Oryzias latipes: one gene and its partner. The protein of the gene in region 2 purifies or fractionates together with the protein of the main gene of each other region. This does not show direct contact. Links are inferred from orthologs where the notes say so. Each region holds a gene or a part of one and is shown on either strand. Other genes may lie near its edges.

Region 1 (4,301 bases), on a different chromosome or scaffold from region 2:
TGGGCAGACGGGACAGCGCTTAGATGGACCTGCAGACCACCGGTGGGTGGAGCAGGGTGGAGCGGGTCACCGAGGAGCACCTGAAACTGCTGCAGGGTCACCGTGTCTGCAGACAGGAACGCCTCGTACCCGTCCTGGATGGAGATGGGCAGGTCCTCGTGGAAGATCTGCACGCTCCCCTGCTCACACACAGAGAGCGGTTCAGGCGCCCGTTCCCTCACCTGTGCACCTGAGCCGGCGGCTTCCACTCACACACTCCATCAGGTACAGAGCCTCTTCTGGGAGGAGGTACTGCTTTCCGTCCGCGGAGAAGCCCGCCGTCTGCCAGAACTTTCCCTGCAAAGACGAGACAGGAGCGGCTGGCAGAGCGCGGGAGGAAGGCCGCACAAGGGCTTCGGAGCGAGAGCACTCACGGCAGGAGACTGCAGCTCCACCAGCCGCCGGCACGGCAACCACACGCCTTTCACCAGGTTTCCTCTGCAGACAGACAAGAGGAGGGACGCTGAACCAAAGCCAGCACCACAGTTCCTGATGCTAAAACTCTCCCAGTTTCAAGGATAAATGTGGAAAACCGACATTGGAGGCGAATCTTCGCCACAGATTTTCTGCTGGGGAGGCGCTGGAGCTCTGACCATCGGTGCCGCTGAGGCAGAACAGGCCTGATCTCCAGTTTGGTTTTATTTATTTTTGTTTTTAGCTTCCAGTAGAACTTTGGTGGTTAAAGTTTATCTCCATTCTCTGTAAAACACCCGCAGCTGCAACTTTATTTCTACATGTAAGAACCCATAACTGACAAAGTTGGGGGTTAAAGGTTAAAGCTAAAGATTCAGACGCCAACTTCAACCTCTGACCCTTAAGGAGTGACGGCAAAAAGAAAATAAAGTTCACTAAAACTGATGCTTTCTAAAAATAACAATCAACAAGCTGGACGCAGCTTTATTATCAGCATCCCGGTAACATTAGAGAGCGGATGGCTGAATATTCTGCATTATTATTAAAAGTATGTAGTTGTAGATTTAGATAAGTTAATTCTTCTCTATGAGTTCTGGTAAATCGCCTGTCCGTCCTGGGGGAGGATCCCTCCTTCATGTGGGCACCCCTGAGGTTTCTTCGTTTTTTCTGGAATCCGTTTTTTTGGGAGTTTTTCCTCACCGCGAAGGGGGGTCTAAGGGCAGGGATGCCAGTATAGCTTAGTCAGTTTGTTAGTTCATTTTAGTATTTTCCTATTGAACTCTTTGCATTCGTGATCCTTTTGAGTTCATGTTTTACTTCGAAGCCCATCGAGACGACTGTTGTAGTTATTTTGGGCTATACAAATAAAATTGAATTGAATTGAATTATTATTATGGTCCCAATGATTCCATGTTAGGGATGAAGACTCCATATTTTTGTCTGTTAAATGCAGCTTTTATTTTGAAGTTATAGGCTCTTCTTCTGTTTCCTCTCTGGATCTTCTCTGCGTAAAGAAACTTTCCAGGTATGTTTGCTTTCATGTTAGTTTTGCTGGTTTCAACTCAGAGCAGCCGCTTTCAGAAAGTATGACATGTGACCGAGTTTTCCAAAGTGAAGCTTCCTTTGGGCCGTGTTTTTTTTCTGTGTGGCCCAGTCACTGTCTCACGGGCCGGTACCGGGGGGGCTGCAGTGGGAACAGACGCCTTCGATGCGTTTGAAGGTGGCGTGCACTCACAGGCGCTCCACCCTCTCCTCTGAGACCAGGCTCCAGTGTTCGTCCAGACTCTGCTGCAGCCGCTGCCTCTGCTCCTCAGACTCGTCCGGGAAGAAGTCCTTCTGTCCTCGGACCGGGATCTTCCGACTGCGGGATCGGGCCGCAAACAGCTCCGAGGGACTGGAAAGGGCGAGAGACGAGTCCAAGATTCAAGTTCAGCTAGAAATCTTCGGTCCGACCTCTTGAAACGTTTTGAATTCTGGGTTAAAACCACGACTGAAACAGATTCAGCCTCTAGTGCTGCATGTCGTGTCAAAAGGTCAGAACTAAACCCACGCCACGGCGAGGCCTCATTTCAGCGCCGCGGGCCTCGCCGCCTGAGGACGGGAGGGTTTCATCCTCTGTGGAGGTTTTTAACAAACACCTTAAGACTCATCTTTTTAGTGAAGCTATAGTTTTTACTCGTCCACATGTTATAAGTCTTATTAACAATTTATTTGATTTATTTTGATTGTACTGCTGGGACGTGTATGCGTTCATTTATGTATTATTGTTATTAGTTGTAGTATTATTTTTAATATGTTTACTATTTTAACATCTATTTTTTTATATATTTGATTAGACTGAAGACAAAGAACAAGAAACATTTATATTTTATTCTACAATAGAATAGAATGTAACTTAATTGTACATAAATTGGTGATTTTTATCTTTAAAACAAACTTGAAAACTCAGAAAGAACTCCTGTCAATTTCACAGTTATGAATAACGTAAAACGTAGTTAAAACTAGTTTATAAATTTGAAACAATAATAATTTAAAGAAACAGTGTAAACCAGCTGAAATAAGGCAAATGCCTAAAACTCTTGATGAAAGGATTGGTTTTTATCTAAGTGTTAATCTTTTCACAAACAGTCATAGATTAAACCAAAGTTATTTTAGTGTGGAGAAGCGCAGCAATTAAAGGAAAATAAACATATATAAAAACAAAAACGGAGACGCTTGCTTTGACTTCTGCTAACCTGAGAACTTCGTTGTAGAAATCCTCGCGCGCGGCCATCTTTCTGTCCGCCATCCTGCTTCCGGCCGCAGCCGCACTCCTCCCCAGGGTCTTAGTGCCTCGTGTTTGATAAACATCCAGTACCTAAAGATAACCAGCAGAGGGCGACAAAACTAAAAAAAAGACAATTAAAAAAACACATGAATTCTTTATTTTCTACGACGGAGTATTAGGGCCACAAAAAAAAAAAAAAGTTAAATTATGAGATTTTAAGTCGTAAATTTAGGAGATTAAAAACTCGTAAATTTACGACTTTTTATCTCATAAATTTACGAGAAAAAAGTCGTAGATTAAGGAAAAAACACCGAAGTTGTCCGTTTATCGGAACGTAACTTGAAGATTAAGTATGTGGAGCCTTTTGTGAAGCTTCATTTCCGTATTATTATAGGTTTAAAACAAAGAGATTCTGAACCTTTTGGCGACTCAAAATCAGATTATTGTCAATGTAGCCGTCTTTCCGGGGTTCAGTGTCAGTAAAGCGGAGTTTCATATGTAAAATAAGGAGCTCAGAGACACGTTTGGGTGCAGATGATCGCTGCAGCTTTTATTCTCCTTTTCATTCACATATTCTGAAGTTCATCTGTCTGATTACATCATGAAGCTGTCATCCGAACACCAATGCGGAAGTAAACAGTGTTACATACGCCTCCTCCTGCAGATGAAATGTCCTGTTTCAGCATAAAACAATAAAGAGGAATGAAAATTGTCTTCTATATTAGCTTTAGAACATTGAAAATGCCAAAAAAAGTGCTCCTCCTTTTGTGTGACGGAAGCGTCACACAGACATAGAGATCTTGTCTTTGGTGGAGGAAGAAAGGATTCAAGCGGACAACTGCGGGGACACCCGATGGCTTCATCGGGCTGCAGAGATCCTGCAAACCAACCATCAATAAATAAAACTTTAATGAATCGTAAATCAAACAAATAAGCTTCCAGACATTTGGAACGTTATCAATAAACATTCAGCTCACCTGTTCAACAAAGTTTAGTCGGTCTGCTTTGCTGCTGCACGCGTTCACCTGCTGCTATGCATATTCACTTCCACTGTAATCTCCTAAAATTACGAGTTTTTTTCTCATAAATTTACGACTTTTTATCGCCTAAATTTACGAGATAAAAACTCGTAAATTTACGACTTTTTATCTCCTAAATTTACGAGATAAAAACTCGTAAATTTACTTCTTTCTTTTTTTTGGTGGCTTTTTTTTTTTTTTTTTGGTGGCACTAATACTCCGTCGTAATTTTCCCCTATAAGCCAATACCTTGTTTTAAAAACGTTGGATAATTTGATTATATTTTACTTAATTGAAAATACCTACTATAATTTCTAATACATTTATTTAATAAGCAATTGACGATATTGTATTGATAAGTACTGTAGAGGTGACTGTGCAAAAAGAGATAATTAGTTTATTTACGGTTTAAAAAAAGTTGCTGATACTGCATTTATAATAGATACTGTCATTTTAAAAGGTCCCATCGGAAGGCAGCAGACCTGATTCCATCCCAGATGTCCTAACGGCCTCTTTACTGACAAAGACCAGAGCTCTCAAAGTAAATTCAAGTTTCAATAGCA
Region 2 (4,154 bases):
GTGGCAGGACTTGATATCAAAATGAGCTCCTTCAGTGGATACAATTCATATTTGTGCAAAAAGCAATGAAAAGCTTTTTATTAATAGCTTTTGTTTTTCCAAATTCCTACATTTGGACATCTTTCATCCGCCTGTGTCTCATTATTGTAATCTGTTTTAATGTAGATCCGCCTCCGTTTTCTAGAAGAATAAAAGTAGTTTCAGTTTTTGTCCCTCAGGCTGACGCTGTTGTTTTTCCTTCAAACAGAAGTCAGAGTTTTTGAATGATTTTGACTCGTATCCCTTTCAGAAATGTTCTGAAACATGTGCGTTGTTTAGTGAGGCTGTTGAACTGCCCCCACCCAAATATATATATATATATATATAAATATATATATATACACACAAAGCCATTTTGTCTACAGGCATGTATGACTAAATAAAAGCCTTCCTTATATGAGAAAGAGCAGAACAGTTTCTTTCTTGGACACTTTGCACAAGCTTTCTTGATAAACTCTGACAGATGTGCATGTGCAGATTGCACAGCTTTCTACAAACCATGGAGGGGTTTTAACTGACAGAAGCCCAGACTGCAGCAGAACCTTCTCTGCCCCATCCATCATCACTAAGACCTACAGTTTGGTTTTTCTTTGACTGGAAAGCAACGTTTTTGAGGCACTTAGAAAAGATTTAGAACCTTTGGCTCCCTTTTCCCCATCGGTGTTCTGCAATTTAAATACACGATTGAGGCCTTGATGTCCACTCTGAGAATCAAAAAGTTATTTTCTTATCTGCATCCTCATAATTAACAAATACAGAAAGGGAAAACTGAAGGGAAGTGTGCATTTACGGATCACAGCTGGTTTAGATCATTTCTGCCTGAGAGGTTGATCAATGCTGCCAGTCAGGGCTTTGTAAAGCTTTATCTTTTAAGTCTGCAGGTTTCGTTTTCCTTTTTTATGGATACGGTTTTGTTTTCTACTAAAAGAATTAGGGAGACAGTATTCAAGTCAAACAAACTGTTTACTTTTTTTTTTTTTTACATCAGAGTGGAGTTTAATTCCAAACAGCAAAAACGAATCTTCTCATCAGAACCGCAGGCACTGGACTCCAAAAGTTTTGGCTTTCTGCTCATCAGAATCCTGGAAAAACACTGTCATGGCAACAGAAGTGATCGACGTGCTTCACAAACAGGCTGGTGAAGATGCGTTCGCTGACATCGGTAAACGGCAAAATGACTTTGGTTTTTGACTACTCTGAATAAAATAGCAGCTCTGTGGGAGAGAAGTCTGCGGTGTCCATTTTAGGGATCGATGTAGGTCTTTCAGTCCACGGTGGAAATGCTTCCACATATGTACCCCTAGAATGATTCACATTGCTCCAGGATGAACCCATCAGCTCCGTTTCAAAACATACGTTGATGGCAGCCAGTAGCCCGTCAGGTAAAAAACAACTTCTTCACCTTTTACCCCTCATCTTCTCACTGTGCTGCTGGAAGCTGTGCTGTCGCCTCTTGCGATGCTGCCGTCGATCCAAATCCTGAAAGGGGCCCACAGGGGGCTCCGGGGTCACCAGCCCATCCGTCAGCCTCTGATAGACCAGGGTGGAGTCCGATGCCACGGCACACAAAAGTACGGGGAAGCCCCTGTCCAGTACGCTGCAGATGCTGCTCAGGAGACAAACAGCTGCATGTCACAAACCCGTGAGCGACGGTTCAAGTCCCAACTCTCATTTGGTGACTCATCACCTGCTGTGGCTCAAGGACTGATGAGCGGGCAGGGGGAGGACAGTGTGAACCGGGGCCCCATCCTTCTCCTTCCCTTCCAGCAAGATTAATCGCAGCTCCGGACTTTTGACGGACGACACCTCCTTCCAGCGACGCACTATGTGAAACCAAATTCACTTTTTATAGTTTGACACCTTTTACTTTATTTTATTTTATTCAGATTTTAAAAATCTGAATAAAAAAAAGTTTAAATTAAATGAAAATTAACTGAATTTTGATATATTTTGATAAATTACTGTAGTTTTCTTGTTTTTGTTTGGAATGCATTTAAGACACTAATATATTATTATTAATAATCAGAAAAATAATTCAAAAAAGTAACAAAAAAATAAAGTATACACATGTGAAAAAAATCTGAATAAAAAAAAAGGTTTAAATTACATGAAAATTAACTTTTTTTAATCTACAAACATGATTTGGGATTTTTGAACCAATTAGATGTACAACTAAATACAAAATTACTTTTTACAGAAGAAAAATCAGCTTATTTAAAACATTGTAAACATCACAGGGTTTCATTCAAAATTTGAATTGAAGCTACTTAGAAATGTTTGAAGGAATACAAGCAAAATCCACAGTCATTCTAATGCATTTTAAACTTAAATTAAAACTTGTTAATAGCCACTTCTGTACTTTGTTATCTTTGTACGTATTTAAGCTCCCTTTATATTTAATGAAACATATCCAGGCTTCATCACATCACCCTCAGTCAGATCCATGCACACCAGAAAGGCAGCGTGCAGCTGCGCGCTGTCTGCGGGCTCCAGAGCCTCCATCTGCCGGTACTGAAACACAGGCAGGCCGCCGTTAGTTCCGCTCACAGCGAACCTTCACGGTCACGTTACTCCAAGCTCCAGGCCGCTCACCGCAGGGTGCTGCAGGATCCAGTTCGCGGGTGGAGCTTTCTCCACCGGAGGTACTGACATCTTTCAGTGTTTATCCTTTAATACAACTACTTGCGCACTACTATAACCGCACGTTTTCGCTAGGAAGGTTGAGCTTTAATTTTTAATGGGTACTACAATAAATGTCGACCGGATGGGAACACGCTCCTTCCTTTATGTTCCGCACCCCAATGAGGCGTGGAGGACCTTTTTATTTCAATAAACGTTATTATACGTTTTTCAATTTGTAGAAATTCACATTCAGCAGCACGATAAAGAAACAATTGTTAATATCAAAAACACATATAAGACCAAACAACAATAATAGTTTAAGCCCTGTGTGTGTGTGTGTTTTTTCTATAAATGGTCATATACAAACCAAGTTAGGGCGCTCAAACGCAATAAATGCGCATGTAGAAAAACAAAACAAAAAACAGGCAAAGGCAAGGCAAAAAACAATTCAAAATAACAATACTTTTGTTATATTTTGATAAATTACTGGAGTTTTCTTGTTTTTGTTTGGAATGCATTTAAGACACTTCTAATATTCAGAAAAATAATTCAAAAAAATACTAAACAAAGGACATGTATTTTACCATTTCCATAAATTAATGAAATGTTTGCATAGAATAATAACAACATTGATGACATCAGAAATTCCCGGGTCCAGATTTTCCGTACAGAAAAAAACATCAGGTAAGGAAAAAAGAGAATCATTAAAACTTTGTGTAACCAATTGTGAAAATCAGTCCAACATATTTTTATCTGGTTGCAACTGTAAAAGAGATATTCTAACGTTTCAGTTTCAGATGAACAGAACATGCATGGTTCCGATTGAAATTTAAATCTTTTATGTAAAAAATCTCCAACAGGGTAAATTTTAGATATTATTTTAAAATGCGTTTCTTTCATTTTAGGTGGATGTGGGTACTTTGTGTATAAAGAAAAGAGTTACTAATTTATTGTGGCATTTTTTTTATCTTTTAGGGGAATATCATTAATTTTCCGCTCTAAAAATTGTGGTTTGGTTGCATTGTATTGTAGTATGTTATGAATAAGATTGAGTGAAGGTGTGGGAATTGCTTTACAGACTTTGTTATAACAGTTACTAGAATCCTTCATTTTGTATTTAGTTACAAACTCATTGTATGATAACAGCCTTCCATCAGTGCGCATCAAGTCATAGACAAATCACACACCATTATCATACCATTCAGACATAAACAAGGATTTCTTGTTTACAGTTATAAATCTGTTTTTCCATAAAACAGTGTTGTGAGGGAAGAAGTTATGAGTGAAAAGCATCTTCCCAAATTCTAAGGCATGCTTGTAAAAGTTTGATGGTTTCATTGGCATTTTTGATAGATTATAATCGCATTTCAACAAAAACTCCAGTCCCCTGACTTTCTCAAAGAGTTTGTTTGGGATATGATACCACATAGAATGAGGCTGGGAAATACAATCTTTTAACCATTTCATTCTAAACGCTACAATTTGTGATTTAA

The links. The genes of interacting proteins can lie anywhere in the genome.
Region 1: the proteins of tsen15 (region 2) and tsen54 purify together in Homo sapiens (affinity purification with mass spectrometry; 4 studies listed by BioGRID and IntAct, counting the BioPlex papers as one, with this or other methods). This does not show direct contact. The link is inferred for Oryzias latipes from reciprocal best matches to the Homo sapiens genes TSEN15 and TSEN54.

Annotation. Positions count from the first base shown.
Region 1 is NC_019866.2:1,089,334-1,093,634, reverse strand, and holds the start of tsen54 (tRNA-splicing endonuclease subunit Sen54), read right to left. Parts: upstream 2,804-4,301; 5' UTR 2,741-2,803; coding exon 2,688-2,740; intron 1,847-2,687; coding exon 1,688-1,846; intron 478-1,687; coding exon 414-477; intron 337-413; coding exon 253-336; intron 180-252; coding exon 81-179; intron 1-80.
Region 2 is NC_019875.2:13,673,628-13,677,781, forward strand, and holds the start of tsen15 (tRNA-splicing endonuclease subunit Sen15), read right to left. Parts: upstream 2,810-4,154; 5' UTR 2,692-2,809; coding exon 2,632-2,691; intron 2,551-2,631; coding exon 2,469-2,550; intron 1,863-2,468; coding exon 1,727-1,862; intron 1,646-1,726; coding exon 1,442-1,645; intron 219-1,441; exon of another isoform or gene 1-218. UniProt on the Homo sapiens protein: Non-catalytic subunit of the tRNA-splicing endonuclease complex, a complex responsible for identification and cleavage of the splice sites in pre-tRNA. It cleaves pre-tRNA at the 5' and 3' splice sites to release the intron.